Schizosaccharomyces pombe: one gene and its partners. Changing the gene in region 2 together with the main gene of any one other region gives a genetic interaction. Each region holds a gene or a part of one and is shown on either strand. Other genes may lie near its edges.

Evidence for each region.
Region 1: of byr2 (region 2) and ste4, changing one suppresses a phenotype caused by changing the other (phenotypic suppression), as found in Schizosaccharomyces pombe (2 studies listed by BioGRID).
Region 3: mutations in byr2 (region 2) and odr1 together harm fitness less than expected from each alone (positive genetic interaction), as found in Schizosaccharomyces pombe (one large-scale study listed by BioGRID).

Annotation. Positions count from the first base shown.
Region 1 is NC_003424.3:1,294,697-1,298,093, reverse strand, and holds ste4 (MAPK cascade adaptor protein Ste4), read left to right. Parts: upstream 1-1,550; 5' UTR 1,551-1,583; coding exon 1,584-1,680; intron 1,681-1,838; coding exon 1,839-2,536; 3' UTR 2,537-2,778; downstream 2,779-3,397. Other genes in the region: protein Utp8, read right to left, coding at 1-704; SPOM_SPAC1565.03 (uncharacterized protein), read right to left, coding at 3,111-3,397. UniProt on the Schizosaccharomyces pombe protein: Essential for mating and meiosis.
Region 2 is NC_003423.3:1,739,428-1,744,378, reverse strand, and holds byr2 (MAP kinase kinase kinase Byr2), read left to right. Parts: upstream 1-2,034; 5' UTR 2,035-2,082; coding exon 2,083-4,062; 3' UTR 4,063-4,331; downstream 4,332-4,951. Other genes in the region: RNA-binding protein Mlo3, read left to right, coding at 1-266; mrpl7 (mitochondrial 54S ribosomal protein uL5m), read right to left, coding at 4,538-4,951. UniProt on the Schizosaccharomyces pombe protein: Serine/threonine protein kinase involved in conjugation and sporulation. It is thought that it phosphorylates the byr1 protein kinase which itself phosphorylate the spk1 kinase.
Region 3 is NC_003423.3:4,046,864-4,050,753, reverse strand, and holds odr1 (haloacid dehalogenase-like hydrolase ), read right to left. Parts: upstream 1,820-3,890; 5' UTR 1,576-1,819; coding exon 667-1,575; 3' UTR 556-666; downstream 1-555. Other genes in the region: SPOM_SPBC215.11C (aldo/keto reductase family protein), read left to right, coding at 1-292; acetyl-CoA C-acetyltransferase Erg10, read left to right, coding at 3,528-3,538, 3,599-3,890.

The DNA of each region.
Region 1 (3,397 bases), on a different chromosome or scaffold from region 2:
AATAAATATACCATGGATGTGGATGAGGTGACATTAGCGCTAAAACTGGTAGACCCTGACTTTGGTACTGAAGAAGTTGTGTCGCTGTTCATCTCGATTTCCTTTGGATTATTATTAGTGCCACTTGCTTCGTTAGATGCTAATCGTACAGCATCAATAGGATTTGCTTGTGAAGGAACATACATTGATTGAAGCAATGTGGCTGATTCGTTAACGGAGGCACTCATGTGAACTTTGTCATCTTCGGGATCGAGAAACGCAATTTTTCCGTTTCGAAATACAATCACTAGTTGACCAGTTGACGAGATGAAATGAAGAGCAAATATTTGTTGGTTGGAAATATCACGATATACAACTTCGCTTTCCTCCTCGAGGTCGTTGAACTTCCAAAGAAGTATTTTCCATTCCCCATTACTTTTAAGAGAGGTGCAGGTCCAAATATAATGCCAATTTCCTTCTTTAATGTAGATGGGTGAGCAGGAAAACCGTGTCTTCTCAGGTAGAGGACATGAAGCGAATAAGCGTTCATCCTTCATATGATAAACTTCAATTCCCTGATTTTCCACTTGAACACATATATAATAAGGAGATTCAACTCCGTTATCCAAAGCAACCGTGCCAGCACTCTGAATTTCATGCTTTTTATTCGATTTATGAATATTCGAAATTTCGCTGAGAAACGATAGTTCACCAAAAGAAGCCATTTTTACTTTAAGTTTAAACACAATTTTCTGAAACTGTGAAAATTGGCAAAATAAGCGTTTCTGAGGTTCAAAAGTTTCACACAGCACTCGGTGGAGATGAAGAGAAGAAGTTACAAAAAAAAATAATTCCTACACAGCTTTGACCTCCACAAATACTAACGAAAATAGGAATTATTGATCAGTAAAATTAAATTAAAGTATTAGAAGCAATGGTTGTTCGACGCTTGTTTTCCACTGGAAAATTTGCGTTCTTACATTCGAGTGCGGTATATCTCGTTATGATACATAAAAACTTTTTGCTCTCAAGTGCTATAACAAAACAACTTTTATTATTTAGTTTTGTCAAATAAGAAAAACAGAATTTTTTTTGTAAACTACTCTTTGTACAACAATGCTACAAAAAATTCTCTTCTCGATTGGGTTTTTTTGCTTTGAGCTTTATTCATACTTGGACAACGTACCGATGTTTGATATCAATTGTGCCTTTATTCTGTGAACTTGAAACTCTAAATTTATTGTTTACCAATTTTTCTAATATAATAGGGATAATAAAACTTTTCTTTAATAAGTGAAAAAAACTGGGCAAGTCAAATTAGCATCGGCATACATGCTCTTGTTTACGTCCCATAATTTACAGATTTTATAGCTAATCCAAATTCAAAGTCCCAAATCACATCCAAAATCACTTTTCCAATAAGATTTAAGGGTCTTATTTTTTATCATTTTTTATGCTGATTTTTGATATTGTATTTAAATTTGCATATCCACTAACTTTTGGTAAATGAGTATGCTTTCTTTGTTATAAAAGTAGTGGGCAGGTCAGCATCAGAAGCATATATATTAACTACGCCCTTTACATTGCTATCCTAAGCAAAATTAATGGGAGATTCTGACGATTTTTATTGGAATTGGAACAATGAAGCAGTTTGCAATTGGATAGAACAGCTTGGTTTTCCCCATAAAGAAGCGTTTGAAGGTATGTATGCATAACAGAAGTTTAATTCAAAGAATTATTTGCTCGCCTCTCATTAATCCTTATTGAATGCTCTTTCTTTTATAGTCAATGGGGGATTGGGAACAATGAGTTTCTCCAAAGTTGGTTCAATTTCATGGCAATTTACTAAGAATTTCTAGACTACCATATTCTTGGAAAAGACATAGACCTGTTAAGTTCAAATGATCTTCGAGACATGGGAATTGAGAGTGTGGGCCATCGTATTGACATTTTATCAGCAATACAGTCAATGAAAAAGCAGCAGAAGGATAAACTGCAGCAAGAAAATAAGGATCAAGAACTGAAAAATATAGAAGAGTCTTACAAGAAGCTAGAGGAAAAAACCGAACATTTATCAGATGACAATGTCTCTTTAGAAAAACGTGTGGAATACTTGGAAACGGAAAACACTAAATTGGTAAAAACACTAAACTCTTTGAACTCGGAATTTCTTCAGTTACTAAGAAAAATTGCCATAAATGTTAAGGAAGGAAGACAGCTTACTACCGAAAATTCATCTGACACTAGTTCGATGACTCACCCTGTTCAGCCTTCACCATCTGTTCTTGGAAGTTTTGATTTAGAGGTTAATGATTCTTTGACAAACGCGGAGAAAAACAGAAAATTAAATGTGAACTTAACCTACAATGAAGTGTTATGCTCCATGTTGCAACGATACCGAATCGATCCAAACACTTGGATGAGCTATGATTTGCTTATAAACTACGATGATAAGGAGCATGCCATACCTATGGATGTAAAGCCACTTCAACTATTTCGAAACCTACAAAAGAGGGGAAAGTCGCCTTCTTTTGTTTTATCTCGACGCTCTTGTTAACTAAGCTTTTTAAAAGCCATCTATTTATGAATTGAATTTAATGAATAGTTTTCAATTTTTTTAATGACTCATTTGCAGATATTTAAGTTATTTTACTTACGCCTTGGTATGTTTATCAGTATTTAAAGATGGATTGATTTTTTTAGCCGTACCTCCTAATATTCTATCTAATATTCTATCTAATATGCTTAAAATATATATTTTTTTTTTTATTCATGGGGTATGCCCTAAGGTTTATTAATATGATATAAATGAATCTATGGAATGTATTAAGACAATGAAAATGAACCATGTAATATAATAACAGAAAAAATTAAACATTAAATTTTAACATGCTTCAACAGGAAATGAAATGACAAAGAAGGTTAACAGCCTAAAAAAAAAATTGAAGCGTGATTAGAAATTTTTAGAAAAAAATTGTGGTTTTTTAATGAATTTGAAACCAATGATATATGCAATATGTGAAGTTCGTAAATAAGGCGCAAAATTATGCCCCGAAACGTAGTTTACTCCGTCAATAAAATATTCATCATGTTGTACTACGCTTATTTTTGTAAGCTATGTATTAACAATTTCAGACAATGCAACATGCGTTGGGTTGCTTGGAGTACACGGTGGTATACCGAAATTTGGAAGGAGACAAGTAACTCATGTTAGACAAGCTTTGTAGAAAAACACGCATTTTTGGCTGAAACCAAATTAGTTCCTTTTCGCTTGATTCGGAAGATGAATAAAAATTTGGCTGGGGTTTTGATCCCGTATGCCTATTAACAAATTTAATTTCATCATTTGTTGGTGGAGTCAGTACTTTTGATAATTTTCTACGCTTAGAGAAATGTTCATTTTTTTTTTTCTTTGAGA
Region 2 (4,951 bases):
CTTATGAACAGTATGAGGGTCGTTTGGTTGATGGCACTAGAAAAATGAAGGTTGAGATAATCCTTGATCCTAGTCGTCAATTGAATTCTTTGGCTGCACGTGTAAGTCCTGCCAGCAACGCTAGCGCCACTGCTAGCAAGAATGGCGCCAAATCTTCCAAGCGGAAGACTACACGCCGCCGTAGAACTCCTAATCGTCCTAAAAAATCCGCCGAAGAGCTCGACAAGGAGATGGATGATTATTTTGGATCAAATGAGAAGGAGTAACTTTAATAATTTGAAGATTCTACTATATATACATATATTTTGAAGATGTCAAATGCTTCTTGGTATTAATAACGACCTATACAACATACTCCCTCAGTTAAATAATATTGGCAATATAATGCTGTTTCGAATGGCAGTTCTTGAAGTTGTTTTTGTGTTTTGGGTCTTTCGTAATGGATTTGGAGAAGTGAGCTGAACCAGTTCTTGTTAGTATATATGGTGTGTATTGGGTCATATTGCCATTATGCCATTATTTCAAAGAATTTCATTAAATTTTTTATTTATATCTCTTTTTTGATAGACATATATGTTTCATTGACATCGAACGAATTTGGTTACTTATTTCTTTTTCGGTGGTTAACGTTGGGTTGGAGGTTTTGACTTTTGCTAACTTTTGACATATCTGTTGATTTGTAGTATGCAAGCTTAAACGCTACCAAGAAGCTAAGCTTTGAGTCGAGTTCATTATTAGCATATCTGTTCACCTGTTATGTTTGCAACTTTATCAGCTCTTGTGCAGAAATCCTTTATGGTTGATAAGCGCTCCCTTCTTGTTTAATACAAAAGCAAAACCTATGTAGACAGTGGTTAAAAGAGGTGGATAATGGTAGCTTCGGCTACTGTTACTTTATTTAATCTAAGTTACTGTACAAGGCAGCTGTTTTGATCATCATGTTGCTAAACTATACTGGGTTGAGCTTACCGACAGGGTTTATTATTGCATGTTTGCTGAAAGTCAAAGCTTCCATACCCCAACTTGACTGTGTTTATTATGTTCATGATGGTTTTTGGTTCACGTCACACTTATTCCAAGTCTTGTTTTACTATATGTGGCACGGCTTGTTTGGATGAGGAATTTCTATTCGTAAAATCATCGCGTTCGATGGCTCTATTTCATCTTTGTCAAATTGTACATGACAGAACTGGCTTCATTCCTTCCTTTGTATGTAAACCACATTTATAGAACTTTTCCACGATTGCATTTTAAACTCGCTGATTGATGAATTACGCGCAATGCATTCTTTTGAAACTTTTAAACCCTAGTCACTTCCATTCCCGTTTTTTTTGCTTCCGACGTTTATTATTATTTGTAAATTATTGTTATGGTTGAATTGCCGACCGTATCTCGAAATTTGTTTTGGTAAACATTGCTTGGTTTTATGTTCGAACCATTGTCACATCAAACAATTTAAATTGAAGTCCCACACATATATTTTTGGCACTTATAATTTTGATTTTTTTGAAAGATCTGTACGATCCGTCGTGATTGTGTTACAAACCAAAAATCGCTTTCAGAATGCGCATTTGCGGGTTGCTAATTTTAGTGCGCGATTCTTGCCGTCCTCTGAAACCGATTGAAACATTGAAATTGTTAAAACAGTACTTTACGTTCGTACCTTAAACCAGTAGTATCTGAACGGTGGTTAACGACATTTGTATTGCAGATAAAGAGAAAGATTATTATTCACTTGCTACACATGGTTTATACGAAAGTTTTAGATTTTAATATCTGATTACAATTTCTCGTCGATATTTAGACTCCTTGTGGAACTCGTATATGTACGTAAGTGTTATTTAATAGATATCTGAATCTGTGCCGGGTGAGAATTGCAATACCTATATAAACAAGCAGCCTTTACGAATTTTTTGGCAGCTTCATTTTGGTAATGAGATTTAGTGAAACTAATATCGGTTATAAAGTGTATAGTTATATTGTTACGTCAAAGAGCACGAGACTAAGGGAGGCAGGTTAAACGTAAATGCTACCAACTTTGAACTTAGAAGTTATACGTTGTACAACCACTTTCCTGCATTTATGGAATATTATACCTCGAAGGAGGTAGCAGAATGGTTGAAAAGTATCGGATTGGAGAAGTATATCGAACAATTTTCACAAAATAACATTGAAGGACGACACCTAAATCATTTAACCTTGCCTTTACTGAAAGACCTAGGCATTGAAAACACCGCCAAAGGCAAACAATTTTTAAAACAAAGAGACTATTTACGAGAGTTTCCACGTCCATGTATACTGAGGTTTATTGCCTGTAACGGGCAAACTCGAGCAGTTCAATCACGAGGAGATTACCAGAAAACACTCGCTATTGCTTTGAAAAAGTTTAGCCTTGAAGATGCTTCAAAATTCATTGTATGCGTTTCACAGAGTAGTCGAATTAAGCTGATTACTGAAGAAGAATTTAAACAAATTTGTTTTAATTCATCTTCACCGGAACGCGACAGGTTAATTATTGTGCCAAAAGAAAAGCCTTGTCCATCGTTTGAAGACCTCCGCCGTTCTTGGGAGATTGAATTGGCTCAACCGGCAGCATTATCATCACAGTCCTCCCTTTCTCCTAAACTTTCCTCTGTTCTTCCCACGAGCACTCAGAAACGAAGTGTCCGCTCAAATAATGCGAAACCATTTGAATCCTACCAGCGACCTCCTAGCGAGCTTATTAATTCTAGAATTTCCGATTTTTTCCCCGATCATCAACCAAAGCTACTGGAAAAAACAATATCAAACTCTCTTCGTAGAAACCTTAGCATACGTACGTCTCAAGGGCACAATCTTGGTAATTTTGGTCAAGAAATTTTGCCAAGAAGCTCTCGGCGGGCTCGCCCTTCCGAATTGGTTTGTCCTCTTTCCTCTCTGAGGATTTCTGTTGCTGAAGATGTTAACCGACTTCCTAGGATTGATAGGGGATTTGATCCTCCACTTACTGTATCTTCTACTCAGCGTATTTCTAGACCACCATCGCTTCAAAAATCCATAACCATGGTTGGTGTGGAACCTTTATACCAGTCCAACGGAAATGAAAAATCGTCGAAGTATAATGTTTTTTCAGAAAGCGCGCATGGCAACCATCAAGTACTTTCCTTTTCACCTGGTTCATCCCCATCATTTATTGAGCAACCATCCCCAATTTCTCCAACTTCCACTACAAGTGAGGACACAAATACACTTGAAGAGGACACTGATGATCAGTCTATCAAATGGATACGTGGTGCGTTAATAGGTTCAGGATCGTTTGGACAAGTTTATCTCGGTATGAATGCATCTAGTGGTGAGTTGATGGCTGTTAAGCAAGTGATCTTAGATTCTGTTTCTGAATCAAAAGACCGCCATGCCAAACTTTTAGATGCATTAGCGGGTGAAATTGCTCTTCTACAGGAGTTGTCTCATGAGCATATTGTCCAATATCTCGGTTCTAACTTAAATTCGGACCACTTGAACATTTTTTTGGAATATGTTCCTGGGGGGTCGGTTGCCGGATTGCTTACAATGTATGGAAGCTTTGAGGAAACGCTAGTCAAGAACTTTATTAAGCAAACCCTTAAAGGCTTAGAATACCTTCATTCACGCGGCATTGTACACCGTGATATAAAAGGTGCGAACATCTTGGTTGATAATAAAGGGAAGATTAAAATTTCGGACTTTGGGATATCGAAGAAACTTGAACTAAATAGTACCTCTACGAAGACGGGTGGTGCTCGCCCTTCTTTTCAAGGCTCTTCTTTTTGGATGGCTCCCGAAGTGGTGAAGCAAACTATGCATACGGAGAAAACAGATATTTGGTCTTTGGGATGTTTGGTAATCGAGATGCTCACTAGTAAGCACCCTTATCCGAATTGTGATCAAATGCAGGCCATTTTCAGAATTGGGGAGAACATTCTGCCGGAATTCCCTTCTAACATTTCTTCATCGGCCATAGATTTCCTTGAGAAAACGTTTGCCATAGATTGTAATCTTAGACCTACAGCATCAGAGTTGTTGAGCCACCCGTTCGTTTCATAAGCCGGCTAAGTTATGATGAAAACAGAAACATTATTTTACGATCTATCTTTTTTATGTTTTTTTGCATCATTATCATTGCATTTATGCCATTTAGAACTAATGAATTTATTTAACCTATAAACCGTATGATTTAAGTTGCTATATTTTTCTACAATATTCATGTTTTTAATGATTTTGTGAATGTCCTTGATAAATACCATTATGAGTTTAGTTACTAAAAAAATACTATTTTACATGTTCAGTTTGTTTAAAAAATATCCATTGATTATTCCTTTTCAAGAAAAAACTTTTTATTTTTATTTACTTTGTGAAAACGATAACATAAATATATAATAACACATATCTACGGGAATTCTATCACTTAAACAAGTAAAACTCAAAAACGTATGTATGCATTAGTCGTAGAGAAGGGGATTTTTTGTTCACTCCTTGAGGAGAAAAGATTAGGTATAGTAGATATAAAATAAATTGTCTACTATCCAACATAGCCTTCCTTATTTCCATCTGTAAATGGAATAAGACTGCTGACGAAAAAACGAGCCAAACGGGTATCTTTGGAATTGGTTGTTATATTTACGTTAAATCCAGGTAAAGAGTGCGGATACATCTCATAAACAGCTTCAATTTGGGGAAATAAAGGCATGACTTCACTTGGTAAACCAAAAGATATGTTTCCTGTTTGATCTCCGCTTGTAGGACTCAGGCCCTTGAAATCATGAAGCTGAGGAAGAACCAACTCAGATAAGATTGAAAGAAATGTATACATAGATTCTCCAGTTAGAGTAACCTTTACACCTACTGGCACACCTGAACGAAGTTTCCAGGGAGAAACGTCCTTACGTGCATAGACTATTTCGGGCTGCAAACCCGTTATAGAACGAAATGCCAT
Region 3 (3,890 bases), 2.3 Mb from region 2:
GTTTATTCCTTGGTATCCCTTAGCTTCAGGAGCATTAGCCAAACCCGGAACCATCCTGGACGCTGTTTCAAAAGACCTTGATCGTTCCACTAGTCAAATAGCTTTGAGTTGGGTTTTACAACGCAGTCCGGTTATGCTACCTATTCCTGGTACTAGCAAAGTAGATCATCTCGAAGAAAACGTCAAGGCCGCTGGAATCCAATTATCTTCTGAGGTGTTTGCCAAATTGGATGAGGAGGGTAAAAGCGAAGATGCTAAGCGTCAAGAAGAGGAGAAGAAAAAGTCTTCTTAGATTTCTCTTTTTCTTTCTATGGAAACTTACTAATGCCACGATGTTTGGAATTTCCATATGTTGATAATGTTATAAAATGATCTCATGATTAAATTAAAAGCATCTTTTTGTATTGATTTTTCATATTCCTCGTAAGGTCTACAAGGCACTGTTTAAGAGAAAGCAGTTTTTAACATGCTAAAGTAAAAATACACGGCATTCACAGAAAAATAGTTATACCCGCGGCTACGTAAATAAAGAAGTTTACGAATGCTTATATATAATATGTATTGTAATTTTCGTTATTTTGATATTTATTATTGTATGGGAATTAGATATTGAATTTTTTTTGTTATAATTTAAACAGGAAAAAGATACTATATAGGTTGTTAAATTTAATTAAAATCAGGAGGGATATTATAAATTCGTTCCAACACTTCACCAACGGCACCTTCAGCACTTGAAACGTCGGAAATTGCCTTGGCTGCCTTTAAGGCGACAGGCATTCCACTACGAATGGCTACGGAATAGCCTGCCAATTCAAACATGCAAACATCATTTGCTCCGTCACCAAAAGCTAGGACGTTTTCCAAGCTAATGGATGGATAAATCTTTGAAAGAATATTCTTGAGCGCAACCCCTTTGTTATCATTGGGAGGAATTATTTCAAAAGTCTGGGGAAGCGCTTGGGTAAGAGCAACTTCATCCGAAGGAATGCCAGCCAGTCGCTTTTTGGCTTCTTCAAGGCCGTTAGTATCATCATCAAAAACTACCATTTTATTGAAGATGTCTTTCGGGCCCTTAAGCTGAGGGAGCATTTCATTGGCGTCGTCCTTTACTGTTTCCCCACAGAGTCGCAAAAACTTAATACCATGTTGTTTTTTATCCGATTCCTGTTTAATTTGGTAAACGTAATCTTCATCGTAACCGAAAAGTGCACACGTTTGGATGTCTTTGAGCTTATCAATAATATCGATGGCTAAAGAGTTTTTAAGAGCTGCGCAAGCAACGATTTCACCTTTATCGTAAACTACGCAGCCGTTAAGGTGAACACAAGGAAAGACATGTAAACCTAACGCTTCTCTGATATTACCTACGGATGTTCGCTGTCTACCAGTAGCTAACACAAAAGGTAGCTGAGGATAATTTTCACGAAGATACTTTAAAGCACGAAGGTTTCGCGGATGTGGCTTATGATCCGGTCCCAGCAAAGTACCATCAACATCACAGATAATGAGTTGAATATCCTCCGGTTTAGGTAAGACGTTTTTCTTTTGATTAATGTCAATTTCTTTAGACGGCATCTTTCTTTTTTGTATGAGATTTTTAATCAAAACACTGTTAACGTCCAATTTACCTGTCTATGATAAACAATTGATCAATTTATTTAAAAATCAAAGTAACTGTTTTCACAAATACCCACAATGATCTATCGTATTTGTATTTATAGCCCGAAAGATGACACAGATACAATATAACTTGCTGACTAATATTGCTGTATTGAAGAAGCGTACCTGTCGTTCACAGCTGAGGTGATCCCTTTGGTTTGTGAATACAAAGGTTGTGGGGTGTTTAAATAACTTTAAGTAGCATTCCCCACTTTTGGGATGACAAAAGCATGTTGAATGCCGGACCTTCGGTAGTCAAGATCTCGATCCCACTCCGGCGCGTTATTAAAACAGAAAGAGATATTGTACGGCAAGACGAGTATGGAGGGTTTGTAAAATGAAGGGTATGCGTTTGTAGTGAGAAGGAAAGAAGAGCAAACAGCTGTTTGAATAAACATGTAAACAAAAAATGCAAAAAATTATTTAGACAACAAGTTAACGCTAGCTTTGTTCAAAAAAAGATGGAGAGATTATTTAATTTTCCTTTCTTTATTTTCTTTGAAATTTTTTCATTAGGATTTTTATTATACATTTTTCTGCTACGTGAAATTCTGTAGCTCAAACTGTGGGAAGTTCTTTGACATTAGTACAACTATACTTTTGGGACCTTGAGCCCAGAGCAGTTGCCTTTCGCTACACTTACAGTTTCACCAGAACAGAGACTACACAGGAACTAATTCACCGTCGTATAGACATTGTAAGACTCCTTATTAAACTTCTAACTAGCGATGTCCTTATGTAGAAATTAATTATGAGCTGGAAATGAGCTGGAAAAATAAAAGTAAACAAAGAAAAAGGTAATAATATTTAGTTGGATCTATCAATTTATCAAGTTGTCATATTTAATCATTAAATTTTATTTTAATACTAAAATTCATTAACTCAAACTTATATAGAAAGCAAAGAATAGCTTTCTTTTTATTTTTTTTGTTTACCATTTCGAATAAATCTCTTCTCAGTTGGCTTCGTATTTCAACCGTGGCCTTTTAATTGCTTGATTAATCCTTTTATGCTTTTTTTCAATAATAATAATTTTTTAGGCTCAACAAATTTTGATCTGTGAATTTTTCAGCGTATTAATTTTCCATGTTAGAAGATTTTTATTCTACCACCGTAACAATTGTCTCAATTCCTTAAACTGCAAATATGTTTTAATTCTCAAAAACCTTTAGAAATCTTCACACTTGTAAATTAAGTAGGAAACAACATCATTAGCAAATAGCATTAGTCCATTCATCAATTGATTTGTTCGATAGAATTGCATATTACTACCTCATAAACCGCTATTTTACCTTAATTGTGCTTACAGTTGTGTCCAGCAATTACGCTTTACACAAATTATGTGAGCTACGCAGTTTCGTATTCGTTTTAACGATATGTAAAACTGCGGTGAGTTTTCCTTGTCGTCTATTATATCGCAATACACAGGTAATATAAGTAGCAACTGAGTATAGGTATTGTATTAACTAGATTATAATGTTACCTATCACTGATATAGCCTATAACTGAACTGAGGAACGAGGTTCAGCAGTAGCTCTAATTATAGTATTCAGATAATATAGATCTTGATAGATTATTATTAAGATCAATCTCAATATCGTATCATACATAATACGATATATAATTAGAACATGTGACATATAGTGATACGCAATGTAGTGTATTATAGCGTAGTGTAGTATTGCTGACAAATTATACAGCGCAAAGTTTTGCTTAGAGATGTCGAACGTTACCTTTTGAAAGAATACAATACACTCACCTTACCCTGGTATCGCGCATTATAGTACTAGTATATATGGCACAACGTGCGCAAAACCACCATTCATCATATACATTTTTGGCTTGTATATTCTTTGACATATTAAGAAATGGTTAACACGTATGTGATATTAAAGTGAAACTTGATTCATTTATAAATTTCCTAACATTTTCTTTATAGAGAGGTTTACATTGTGTCTGCTGTTCGCACACCCATGGGCAGCTTTGGCGGCAGTTTCGCTTCTCTTCCTGCCACCAAATTAGGCTCTATTGCCATCAAGGGCGCTCTTGAAAGGGTCAATATTAAGCCTTCTGATGTTGATGAGGTGTTTATGGGTAATGTCGTCTCAGCCAATCTTGGCCAAAACCCTGCTCGTCAATGCGCCTTAGGTGCTGGACTCCCTCGTTCCATCGTTTGTACTACTGTTAACAAGGTTTGTGCCTCTGGTATGAAGGCAACAATTCTCGGTGCT